3 linked regions of the Oryctolagus cuniculus genome follow. The protein of the gene in region 2 interacts with the protein of the main gene of each other region in a pairwise test. Links are inferred from orthologs where the notes say so. Each region holds a gene or a part of one and is shown on either strand. Other genes may lie near its edges. The genes, in order: ID1, MYOD1 and ID2.

Region 1 (3,287 bases), on a different chromosome or scaffold from region 2:
GCAGGCGGCGGTGTAACCCGCTGTGCCACGAGGCCGGCCCCCGGGGGGCCTGGTCTCCTTTTGGGGAGGTAGTGGACACGCTTAGGGTTCCCGCTCCCTAACTTCCCGGAACAAGAGAGCCTGGCCATAGGCAGCGGAGGAGCCATCATGCCAGTCTCCTATGCAGGCAGCACTTTGTCCCTGCTCAGGCCTCAGCTTCCCCGCTGGTGGCACGCCCGCCCGGGGCTCTCAGAAGGAAGGAGCTGCATTGCCATAACGAGCCTTGTGCATCAGCTGCGACTCCTGCAGACTTCCTAAGCCTCGGTTCTGCACGGCTCCGCTCGCCGGACGCGCGGAGAGAATCGCCGAAAACCCGAAGGCAAAGGCTTCCCACCGTGCCTGTCGGGAGGCGAGAATGGGGGTGCTGCCCGCTCTCGAAATACCAGAACGTGAAGCACCCGGGGCTCTCGGAGCAGGCACGACTCGCAGAACTGCAATTGGAACTCGGGCCTCTTTCCCCTAAAGAGATTGGGGCGGGCGGGGGGGGGACCCTCCCAAGCTGCGGGGCTGGGCAGGGGGCCTCGCAGGTGTGGGGCCGCGAGGTACGGCGACCCCTGCCCGGCACCCGCGCCCGCGAGCGCCGCATTCCCAGGCCTCCCGCCCGGGGTCTGCAGGTGACGGCGGGGGGAGCGCGCGGACGCTCCCGCCCGGTTTGCCGTCTCCATGGCTACCGCCCGCGCGGCGCCAGCCTGACAGCCCGTCCCGGTTTTATGAATGGGTGACGTCACGAGCCTGGCGTCTAACGGTCTGAGCCGCTTGTTCAGACGCTGACACAGCCCAGCCCGGGAGAGAGGGGGGCGGCTGGAGCGCCGCAGCTGCCGCGCCGTGGGAGGGAGACCCCGCTCGAGGTCTTCGAGGGGAATAAGAACCCAGCCAAAAAAGGGAGAAAAACTAAGTCACTAGCTGCTGCAGATGCCTGCAGGCAGGGCTGCACACGCGGGGTAGAGTCCTCTGTGCGCCTTCTGCGTAGTTCGGGGCCCAGAGACCCAGCCCCTAACCCTGCAGGGATCTGGGTGGGCCCTCCGGGCCCCAGGAGCAACCACAACTGCGTTCCCCGGCGACCAGCCCCGGGAGCAGGGTGTAAAGGTCAGCTCGCCTTCAGTTTCGGCCCCGGTTCCTGGAGGTCCGAGAGAGGCCGGAAACGCGGGGGCCAGCCCTGGGCTCTCTGGGAGACCCAGAGGCCACCACGTCTCCGTCCGGGCCTCAGTTTACCTCATCTGTAGAATGGAACCGAGAGGTGAGAGCGTGAACATAGGAATATGGCTCCTGAGGCCTTTCAGTCATCGGCAGTACCGCTCTCGCCTCCTTCCTGAGGAGCCCAAAGCAGTGCCCACCGCCACACGCCGCCCTGGCCGGTGCCCTCGCGCCCTGCCCGTTCCCGAGACCTGGGCTGCCGTTCCACCCACTGGCGGGTGCGCCCCTGGAGCAGGAGGAGGGACCCAGGAGGCCGAGGTCACGCCCCCAGGCCCCCATTGGCTGCTTTTGAACGTTCTGACCCCGCCCCTCGGGGGGGGCACGTGGCGTCTCTATAAAAGCGCGAGGGTGGCGCGGCGTTCTCGCATTCTACAACCGTCTCCTGCGCGCTTTGAGCTCGCTTGCAAGCCCGGCACTCGCCTCCTCGTCGCCTTCGGCACTCTCTCCCAGCCGGTCGCCAGAACCATGAAGGTCGCCAGTGGCAGCGCCGCGGCCGCCGCGGGCCCCAGCTGCGCGCTGAAGGCCGGCAAGGCGGCGGGCGGCGCGGGCGAGGTGGTGCGCTGCCTCTCCGAGCAGAGCGTGGCCATCTCGCGCTGCGCGGGCGGCGGCGGGACGCGCCTGCCCGCCCTGCTGGACGAGCAGCAGGTGAACGTGTTGCTCTACGACATGAACGGCTGCTACTCGCGCCTCAAGGAGCTCGTGCCCACCCTGCCCCAGAACCGCAAGGTGAGCAAGGTGGAGATCCTGCAGCACGTGATCGACTACATCAGGGACCTGCAGTTGGAGCTGAACTCCGAGGCTGAGGTCGGAACCCCAGGGGGCCGGGGGCTGCCCGTGCGGGCTCCGCTAAGCACCCTCAACGGCGAGATCAGCGCCCTGACGGCCGAGGTGAGCCCTGGGCTACCGTCGGGGCTGGGTCGGGGTCGGGGGCTGCACCGCGTCCGCTCCATGCTTTGGGGCACCTGGCGGGGCAGGGATGCCCAAGGACACCGGGAAAGTGTCTCCTGGGGAGGCGGCGGGTGGGCTGCGCCTGCTGCACCTGCCCCCCTGTGCAGCCCTCCGTCTCACCTCTGGCTCGTTTTCACAGGCGGCGTGTGTTCCCGCGGATGATCGCATCTTGTGTCGCTGAAACGCCACCCCCAGGCGCTGGCGGACCCCGGCGCTCCGGGGGGCAGCACGAGTCAGCGCTCCCGGGTAACCCCCAGTGTCGCAAGACCCGGGAGAAACCAGACAGATCTACGGCCCTCGGGCCCCTGCCGAGTCCGGCCCGGGGCCGGGGGCCCGCGGTGGAGGGGCCGACCCTCTCTCCACGCCTACCAGCCACCAGAGACTTTGGGGGGTGGCATTCCCCCGTGTGTTTCTATTTTTTGAAAAGCGGACATTTTAAAAAATGGTCACGTTTGGTGCTTCTCAGATTTCTGAGGAAATTGCTTTGTATTGTATATTACAATGATCACCGGCTGAGAATATTGTTTTACAATAGTTCTGTGGGGGGTGTTTTCTTTTTTGTTATTAAACAAATACTTTAGATGGTGGTGAAGTTGCAGTGACTTCTCTCATGGCGGGGAGGGGAGGGGAGGGGCTGGAGCCGGGGGTTGAACTCTGACCCTTGCTGCAGCTGGTGCTGGGAGGAGGGGGCCTGCAGGGCCACATCTGGACTGTGGCTCTTAGCGACCTGAATGAGTGTTTCCGGTGTCTTTAAAGTCTTTTCTTTCCCCCCATCCTTGGCCATTTCCCTGCTCCCTAGTGTCATAAAATTAAATCCTCTACACGCTGGGCTCACTCTCAGAGTGGTCCGGGCCATCTGGATCACCTGGGGAGGCTGTTAAAATGCAGATGAACCTGCTGGGGGCCCCCTCCGGGATGGGGGAGCAGTGAGGCCGTTGAAGTGGGAGAACCAGGTTGCGGGCCTCCCGCCTCCCCCCACCAGGTGGGACCCAGAGCCCTCTCTGTCCCCAGTTCCCCAGAAAGAGGTTGCTCTCGCAGCAGGCTGCCCTGCGGCTCCCAGCTTGTCCAAGTGGGTGAGCAAGTTGGCAGGGCCCGGCTGGGCACAG
Region 2 (4,226 bases):
TGATGTGCACGCTTCCATGAGAGCCACCGCCTTGCGTGTGATGCAGATCAAACTCAGAGAAACCCCAGTGTGTGTTCTGGAGGCATCCCCACTCCCTCGACCCTGAGCGGTCTTCCTCCTTGCAATCTGCCTGTCGCCTGTAGGGGTCGCTGCGAGACAGCTGGCCCAGCTCGCGGGTTTTCCTCCGGATCCCGCCCCCGAGCCCGGGGAAAGCCGGAGCCACCGCGGCATAAATTAGCGTCTTTATTTCGAACACCTGAGCGAGCGCCCGCGGCTCGCCCGCCTGCCGTATAAACATAGAAAGTCGCCGTTGCACCGCACACCATGCGTCAGAGATAAATACAGCCCTCGGGGCTCCTGCTCTGGCAAAGCAACTCTTATTTACAGGAATAGATTACAAAAAAGTATTATAAAAAGTGGTCCTGAACCGGAGGGCGGGGTTGGGGTGGGTTACCTGCGGGACTGGCGCGCATCCCGCAGGTGCGATGGGAGGAGCTTGAAAGGATGTAGCTACGGAGGTGGGGCGGGGCCGGGCTTGGGTCCGCGGCGATCCAGTTCCCCCTACTGGGGAGGCGTCGAGGAAGCGGAAGGATCAGCCCCGGCTTGCCGGCGATCGCCCAGCGGCCAGGGCAGGCGCGGCGTGGAAGACACCCACCGTGAGCTCGCCCTGGGGCCGGGGACCGGGTTCCCCCCGTCTCTGCCACCGCGGAGGAGGGGGCGGAGGGTCGCTTTAAGCTCAATCTTGGGGGCACGAAGGAACCCCAGGGGCTCCGTCCCTCGGGCGCGTAGGCAGCGGCGCCCTTGCACGAGGCAGCCCTCCCCTTCAGAGCACCTGGTAGATGGGGTTGGGGTTTGCGGTCGCAGGGCACCGCGGGGCGGTGTCCGGGGCCGGCGTGGGTGCTCCGCGCTCGCCCTCGCTCTCGGCGGCCGCCTCCTGCTGGCGAGGGGGCGACTCCGGTGGCGCGTCCGCCAGCAGGAGCGCGGGCGCAGCGGGGCTCTCCGTGGAGATGCGCTCCACGATGCTGGACAGGCAGTCAAGGCTGGACACGGCGGCACTCTTCCCGGGCCTGGGTTCTGCGCGGGGAGGGCAGGGGAGTGAGCAGGGGTGGAGCCGCGGCTACCTCCTCCACCCCTGAGCCCCCTTGTGCTTCGGAGGACTTGCGGGAGTCTGAAACCATCCAGCGAGGGTGCGGGACGACGGCAGGGCACGCGACCCGCCAGGGCTTCATCCCCCGCACCATTGCCAGGCTATGTGGGGCGGGGTTGGGGGGGTCCTAGGTGGAGGGAAGCCAGGGCGGCTGGGAGAGGGACATGGAGGAGGCGCGGGATACGCACCGCTGGGCGCCTGGCTGTAGTAGGCGCCGTCGTAGCAGTTCCGCCGCCGCGCGCCGCTCGGGGGGCCGCTGTAGTCCATCTGCAAAGGGTTGGGGGGACCGCGTCAGGCCCGCGGGACCGGAGCGCCACTCCCAGGAGCAACCCCCTCCCCAGCTCCCCGAGACTCAGCCGAGGGCTTCTGGTCCCGGATCTGTCCTGGGTGGACAGGAGCCGCGCACCGCAGAGTCCAGAGCCAAACGAGGCAGGACTCAGATCTGCATTTTGGAAACAGGGATCCATGGAGGAAAGGAGCAGATCCCTCAACAAGTTTTGTAACAGCGTCCCAGCCGTGCCGACTGTACCCGTCCTGCGTGCTTCCAAAGCCCTAGGCTACCTCAGCGACAGCCGCCGGAGCCACGCGAGTCCACTTCTGGGTCGGGCCCCTGTCCGCCCATGCCTGTCGCGAGGGCCAGCTCCCCGCCCTCGGGAAAGGCTCCAGACCCACCCACTCCTTCCCCCACCCCCACGCCCCAGGGCTGCCTCCCCTCCTTCCGCCTGGCGTCCAGGCCTTACCATGCCGTCGGAGCAGTTGGAACGCGGGCTAGACGCGTCCGAGTCGCCGCTGTAGTGCTCGCCGCCGCGGCCTGGGGGCAGTGGGCCGGGCGCGTAGAAGGCGGTGGCGCCAGGGCCCGCGGCGTCCTGGGCGCGCAGCAGAGCCTGCAGGCCCTCGATGTAGCGGATGGCGTTGCGCAGGATCTCCACCTTGGGCAGCCGCTGGTTGGGGTTGCTGGACGTGCAGCGCTTGAGCGTCTCGAAGGCCTCGTTCACTTTGCTCAGGCGGCGCCGCTCGCGCATGGTGGCGGCCTTGCGCCGGTCAGCGTTGGTGGTCTTGCGCTTGCACGCCTTGCAGGCCCACAGCAGGCAGCGGCCGGCCTGGTGGTGCCCGCTGGGCGCGCGCACATGCTCGTCCTCGCGCGCGCCCGGGGCCTGGTGCACGGCGGCGGGGAAATGCGTGTGCTCCTCGGGCTTCAGGAGCGCGCCCACGTGCACCAGGCGCGGATCCAGGTCCTCGAAGAAGCGCAGATCCGAGGAGTCGAAACACGGGTCGTCATAGAAGTCGTCCGCTGCGGCAAAGGAGCAGAGGGAGCCGTCGGGGCCCGTCAAGTCCACGTCTCGGAGCGGCGGCGACAGCAGCTCCATGTCCCAGCGCAGGGCGGCGCGGGCCCGGCCTCACCAACCCGGGCGGCAGGGGTTGCCCGGAACTTTCTGTCGCTGGGGAACCCCAGCCGTGCGATGGCAGAGTGCCGGGGGTCTGAGGGCACACCCGACTGTCCGCCACCCCGCCGCGTCCTGGCCAGCTGGACCTGCGGCGAGCAGAGCGGCGGCAGTGCCCTGGGGCTTCCCCGGCCCTAGCTTAGTGCCAGGCGCCCCGGGCTATTTATCCGTAGTAGCCTAAGCGCCCCGGGAGCCCAAGCCGGTTGAGGGGGCGGGGGCGGGGGAGCACGAGGCCAATAGGAACAGAGGAGGGCGGAGCTCTGGGTCCTCGGGGTGGCCGCCAGGGCGAGAGAGTGGCCCCCCTCCCGCCCGTGGACACCAGCGCGCGCGCGCGCACTCCGGTCCCTCCCGGAGCAGGGAGCGCGGCAGACTGGCAGCCTGACCCGCTGCGCTTGGCTCCTAGGCACACCCTTTCCAACACGCGACTCCTGTGTTCGCGGGAAACGCTGGCCCTGGGCGCTCACTTCCCTCCGGGCGGAGTTTGGCTCTTACTCGGTCCCGTATTTGTGCGGAAACCAGGAGCAGAGCCGGGGCAGAAATGAGATCAGGAGAGATTTGAGAGAGATGCAAAGTAATGGGGCAGAGACACAATTAGGGCTGAGGTGGTGCAAAGGCGAGACCCCACCACCACCACCAAAGAGGCCCAGAGACGGAGGGGCCAGGCAGAGACGCACCGGACGCGGGGGCAGAGCCACTCGGCCAGTCCCTGTCCCTGTCCTGAGAGTCACTCAGAGGGCTGCGCGGGCCCTGCTCGTCTTTCCTGAACGCTGAGAAACCCAGCTGCGTCTATTCGGGCGTGGATCTCGCTGCTGGAGCTTAATCTAGCCCCTCTCTCCGAACTCGGGTCGTGCGGGGTCTGCAGGCAGTGAGGTGGACTCACGCCCAGCCCACCCTCGCCCTTGACGCCGGGTGTCCCTGGGGCTAGGCTGAGAGCCTCCTGGGCTGGGAAGTGAACTCCCTTTGCGCAGGGCTTGCGTCTGCTCCAGACCCCCCGCAGACCCGGGAAATGCCTTTCGCAGAGATCCTCGAGGCGGGGACCTGGCCTGAGAACTCTTTGAGAATGGCATTTGCCCACCAGGGGGGACCCAAATCCCCAGTTTCCCAGCTGTGTGATTCTGTGGAAGCCACACCTCCTTCCCCAGCCTCAGTTGCCGTTTGCTTCAATATGGGGATAGGAGGACTTTCTTGGGGCAGTTGCTTAGTGCTGAGAAGCTGGAGAGATCAAGGATGCAGAAGTCCTCGGTCCGAGGTGCAGGGCCATGGTAGTCAGAGGGCCTGCTCTGTCCTGAGCACCAGCTGCAGCAGTGTGCCCAGTGGGCTCCCTAGCCCTCCCCTGGGGCACAAAGCCCCGGAAGGTGCCCAAGCAATCCCCAGGCTCGGCTCCTGCAGAAGCCTCAGCCGTGTTGCTCCCTTGCAGGCATCCTGGAGAGGCTGGAAGCAGAAGGAGCAGGCAGCCGCCCCAAATCTGGCTCCCCTACAAGCCTCAGCACACCCCTCCGCCCCCCATGGGGCCTCACAACATCTTCCTGAATCTGCAGTCCTCACCCTCCTCTCCCTGCTCGGGCTGCAAATTGCTCTCCACCATTCACCCCTTCTGGAATCCGGTCATTGAAGTTTGAAGTGCCTTTCCCACCACC
Region 3 (3,220 bases), on a different chromosome or scaffold from region 2:
TAGTGACTCGGTCTTTAGCTCATGCAACGCCGCACTGCCCCTCAAACGAGCAGAGCCGGGTGCCTGGCCGGAGAACCGGGTCCCGCAGGGTCTCCAGGCGGCCCGGACCGCGGTCCCCGCAAGCAGCCGCCTTACCGCGCAGGGGCACGAGCGCTCGGGACTGGCGGGGCCCTCCACGCACGGAGTCCGTGCGCCGGAGCCAGCCCCAAAGGTGCGTGTTCACGCGGCTGTGGTGGTACACAGAGCACTGCATCGTGGGCCCGAAGTGCCCGGACACAGTCAGTCCCTGCGCGGCACAGACGCGCGGCGCCTCCCAGGGCTGGAGCCAGGGGGCGGCCAGAGCCCGCAGGGCCCCGCGTGCGGGTGCGGGGTCCCGGCGTGGAGGCCGCCCCGCTGCCCCTTCCGGGCACGCACCGCGGGCGCCGAGCAGGCCTGGGGGCCGTGGAGGTCAGGGGCCGCCTGGCCCTCGCCGTGGCCGCCCGCGTGGGCTTTGCATCCAGGCTGGGCTCGGCCCCCTTGCTCCCTCCGGATGCGGGACCGGTGCGGAGCCCTGTGCGTGGCTGGCTGAGAACTTTAATCAGACTACGAGCGTGGAGTTCTTTTAACTAGTCAAATAAATGAAGTTGCGTCCAGTACCCGTGCCAAGACCGCCAACCTCGCCCACGGCGGGCACCGGCTGTCCGAGAGCCGTCCGCTGCGGGACGCGCCATGTGCAGACCCCTGCGGCTCCCGCAGCCGGCCCGCTCCCGCCGGGGCACCCCGCAGCGCGGGCGGGCCCAGTCCCCGGCGAGCGCCCCCAGCCGGAGTGCGTGAGGCGGGCCTCGGCCTCTGGTCCCGCAGCTCTGCCCTGTCCGGGAACACGCAGCCCGTCTTGCACGCGTCTCCACTCTCCCCCGAAACGCCCGCTGTGGGGTTCCACTCGCCGGCGTCGCTGTGGCTCCGGACGGCGGCGGGGCTCGACCCGCCCGAGCTGGGCACCAGCAGTGCGGGTGCGCGCGGGGGCTGCCCCGCGCCCCGCGCCCGGCCCGCGCGCACTGTACTCTATTTACCCCCGCAGCTGCGCCCGGCCCGCCCACCCCGCGGGGATTGGCTGCCAACGCGGAAGGACCGAGCGCTCGCCCCGCGCCCGCGCCCGCCAATGGCGGTGCCCGCTCGGCCTGATGGACGCGCCGCCCTCCGCCAATGGGGACGGGAGGAGGCCCGCGCGTGCGGCGCCGGCGAGCGCGTATAAAAGCCGGCGCGCGGGGCCCGGGCTCCACTCTGCCGAGCGCTGCGCGCGGAGCAGGCGGCGGCCCGGCCTCTCCCTCCCCCTCGGTCAGCATGAAAGCCTTCAGCCCGGTGCGGTCCGTCCGGAAGAGCGGCGTGTCGGAGCACGGCCTGGGCGTCTCCCGCAGCAAGACCCCGGCCGACGACCCCATGAGCCTGCTCTACAACATGAACGACTGCTACTCCAAGCTCAAGGAGCTGGTGCCCAGCATCCCGCAGGACAGGAAGGTCAGCAAAATGGAAATCTTGCAGCACGTCATCGACTACATCCTGGACCTGCAGCTCGCGCTGGACTCGCAGCCCGCCGTGGTCGGCCTGCACCACCCGCGGCCGCCGCTGACCACGCTCAACACGGACATCAGCATCCTGTCCCTGCAGGTGAGCCGGCCGGCGCCGCGGGCGCGGGCGGGGGGCGTGCGTGCGTGCGGTCTCCCCGGGCTGACGCGGGGCCTGCTTCGTCTTCCTCCCCAGGCGTCCGAGTTCCTGCCGAGCGACAGCAAGGCGCTCTGTGGCTGAGCGGACGGTGAGTGTGCGGTGCGGGAGCGCCCCGCGGGGCGTGCGTGTCCGCGCCGGCCCGCGGGCGCACTTGCGGGGAAGGTGGCCGGGGGCTGCCCGTGCGGGGCCGCGAGGAGCCCCGCGTGTTTCCGCTCGCGCACCTGCCCGCCGCGCCTCAGCTGTGCCTCTCTCTCCTTCTGCAGGTGCCCCTGGCTTGGTATTTTTTTTATTTTTTCTCTTTGCACAACAACAAAACACCAACAAACGCACAGGACCTTGGAAGGCGAAGCGGACACGTCGAATGGACCTTTTGCAAAAGGGGAAAAAAAATTTTTTTAAAAATTTTTAAAATGGACGGAGACGGAGGAACGCCGTCGTCCGCGCGTGTCCTCGGCCTGCGCTGCGACTCTGGTTCCTGGGAGACGCGGGCGCCTCGCGTGCGGGTGGATGGCGGTTCCCTGGGTCCCGCGCGCGCTGTGGGCGCGAGCACGTGGAAGTCGCAGGCGGTCGCCGGGTCGCAGCAGACTTTGCCTTTCTGCAGAGGTGGAGCGTGAATAAAACCCCCAGGCGGTCGCCGAAGCCAGAAGTGCCCCTGGGCGCCGTGTACATATTTATATATAAATTATACGTCTATACATATATATATATATGGGGCGAGCCTCCCTGTACAGCGGCAGACGCACACCGCGTGACGACGGACTCGTTCAGGCTGAACTTTTTATAAAAGTTTGCTTGTCAACTTCACCGTTTTATACGAAATAAACCGAGCGCGCTGGCCGAGCCGTGCCGCCTGCGTTATTTCGGGCCCTGAGCGCTGCCCTGAGCCAACCGGACACGCGCGAGTGTGAGTCCGCGGGGGCTGTGCGGGGAGCGCACCGCGCGTCTGACGTCGGCACCCGGGGTCCCGGGCGGGGAGCCGGAGCCCGGCGGCGTCGGGCAAGGGGTCGGGCCGGCTGGGAACCTGGGATGAGCGCCCTGGGGCCGGGGGCGCTTGCCGGCACGGGCCCCGGCCCCTGCGGCTCACCTGGGAGCGGGAGGCGAGGCCCTGGGGTCCGGATTCCCGCGGCCTGGTTTCGAGCGGGGAAGGGAGTAAACGGCCGGTCCACCTGCGCGCAGGCCGCGCCGCGCGGGGGAAAGCCCTGCGGAGCGCGCCCAGGGACGGACCGGGCCCCTGGGACGGCTGGCGCCGGGGTGGAGGCGGGCACCCAGGGCAGCGGGGCGGGGTAGGGGCGGCTGCGGGCTCCGGGCCGAGCCCCGCGGGCCGCCGCTGCTGATAATGGTGCCGCGAGGGGAGGTCAGGGTTGCGGGGGCAGCCGTGGTGGCGCCGGGCGGGCGGCCGCGCTCTGCGGCTCGGCGCGGGCCGGGACGCGGCCGGACCGTGGAGGCCGGGCTCCCCCTGCTGGCGGGCGCAGGGACTGCGGGGAAGCGAGGCACTGGCGGCCCCCGCGCGGGACCGGGG

Evidence for each region.
Region 1: the proteins of MYOD1 (region 2) and ID1 interact in a two-hybrid assay, tested with the Homo sapiens proteins (5 studies listed by BioGRID). The link is inferred for Oryctolagus cuniculus from reciprocal best matches to the Homo sapiens genes MYOD1 and ID1.
Region 3: the proteins of MYOD1 (region 2) and ID2 interact in a two-hybrid assay, tested with the Homo sapiens proteins (2 studies listed by BioGRID). The link is inferred for Oryctolagus cuniculus from reciprocal best matches to the Homo sapiens genes MYOD1 and ID2.

What each region holds. Positions count from the first base shown.
Region 1 is NC_091442.1:26,079,642-26,082,928, reverse strand, and holds ID1 (DNA-binding protein inhibitor ID-1), read left to right. Parts: upstream 1-1,586; 5' UTR 1,587-1,698; coding exon 1,699-2,121; intron 2,122-2,320; coding exon 2,321-2,362; 3' UTR 2,363-2,768; downstream 2,769-3,287. UniProt on the Homo sapiens protein: Transcriptional regulator (lacking a basic DNA binding domain) which negatively regulates the basic helix-loop-helix (bHLH) transcription factors by forming heterodimers and inhibiting their DNA binding and transcriptional activity.
Region 2 is NC_091432.1:48,597,234-48,601,459, forward strand, and holds MYOD1 (myoblast determination protein 1), read right to left. Parts: upstream 2,801-4,226; 5' UTR 2,515-2,800; coding exon 1,888-2,514; intron 1,415-1,887; coding exon 1,336-1,414; intron 1,075-1,335; coding exon 824-1,074; 3' UTR 227-823; downstream 1-226. UniProt on the Homo sapiens protein: Acts as a transcriptional activator that promotes transcription of muscle-specific target genes and plays a role in muscle differentiation. Together with MYF5 and MYOG, co-occupies muscle-specific gene promoter core region during myogenesis.
Region 3 is NC_091433.1:193,253,037-193,256,256, reverse strand, and holds ID2 (DNA-binding protein inhibitor ID-2), read left to right. Parts: upstream 1-1,245; 5' UTR 1,246-1,320; coding exon 1,321-1,644; intron 1,645-1,737; coding exon 1,738-1,782; 3' UTR 1,783-1,789; intron 1,790-1,964; 3' UTR 1,965-2,541; downstream 2,542-3,220. UniProt on the Homo sapiens protein: Transcriptional regulator (lacking a basic DNA binding domain) which negatively regulates the basic helix-loop-helix (bHLH) transcription factors by forming heterodimers and inhibiting their DNA binding and transcriptional activity.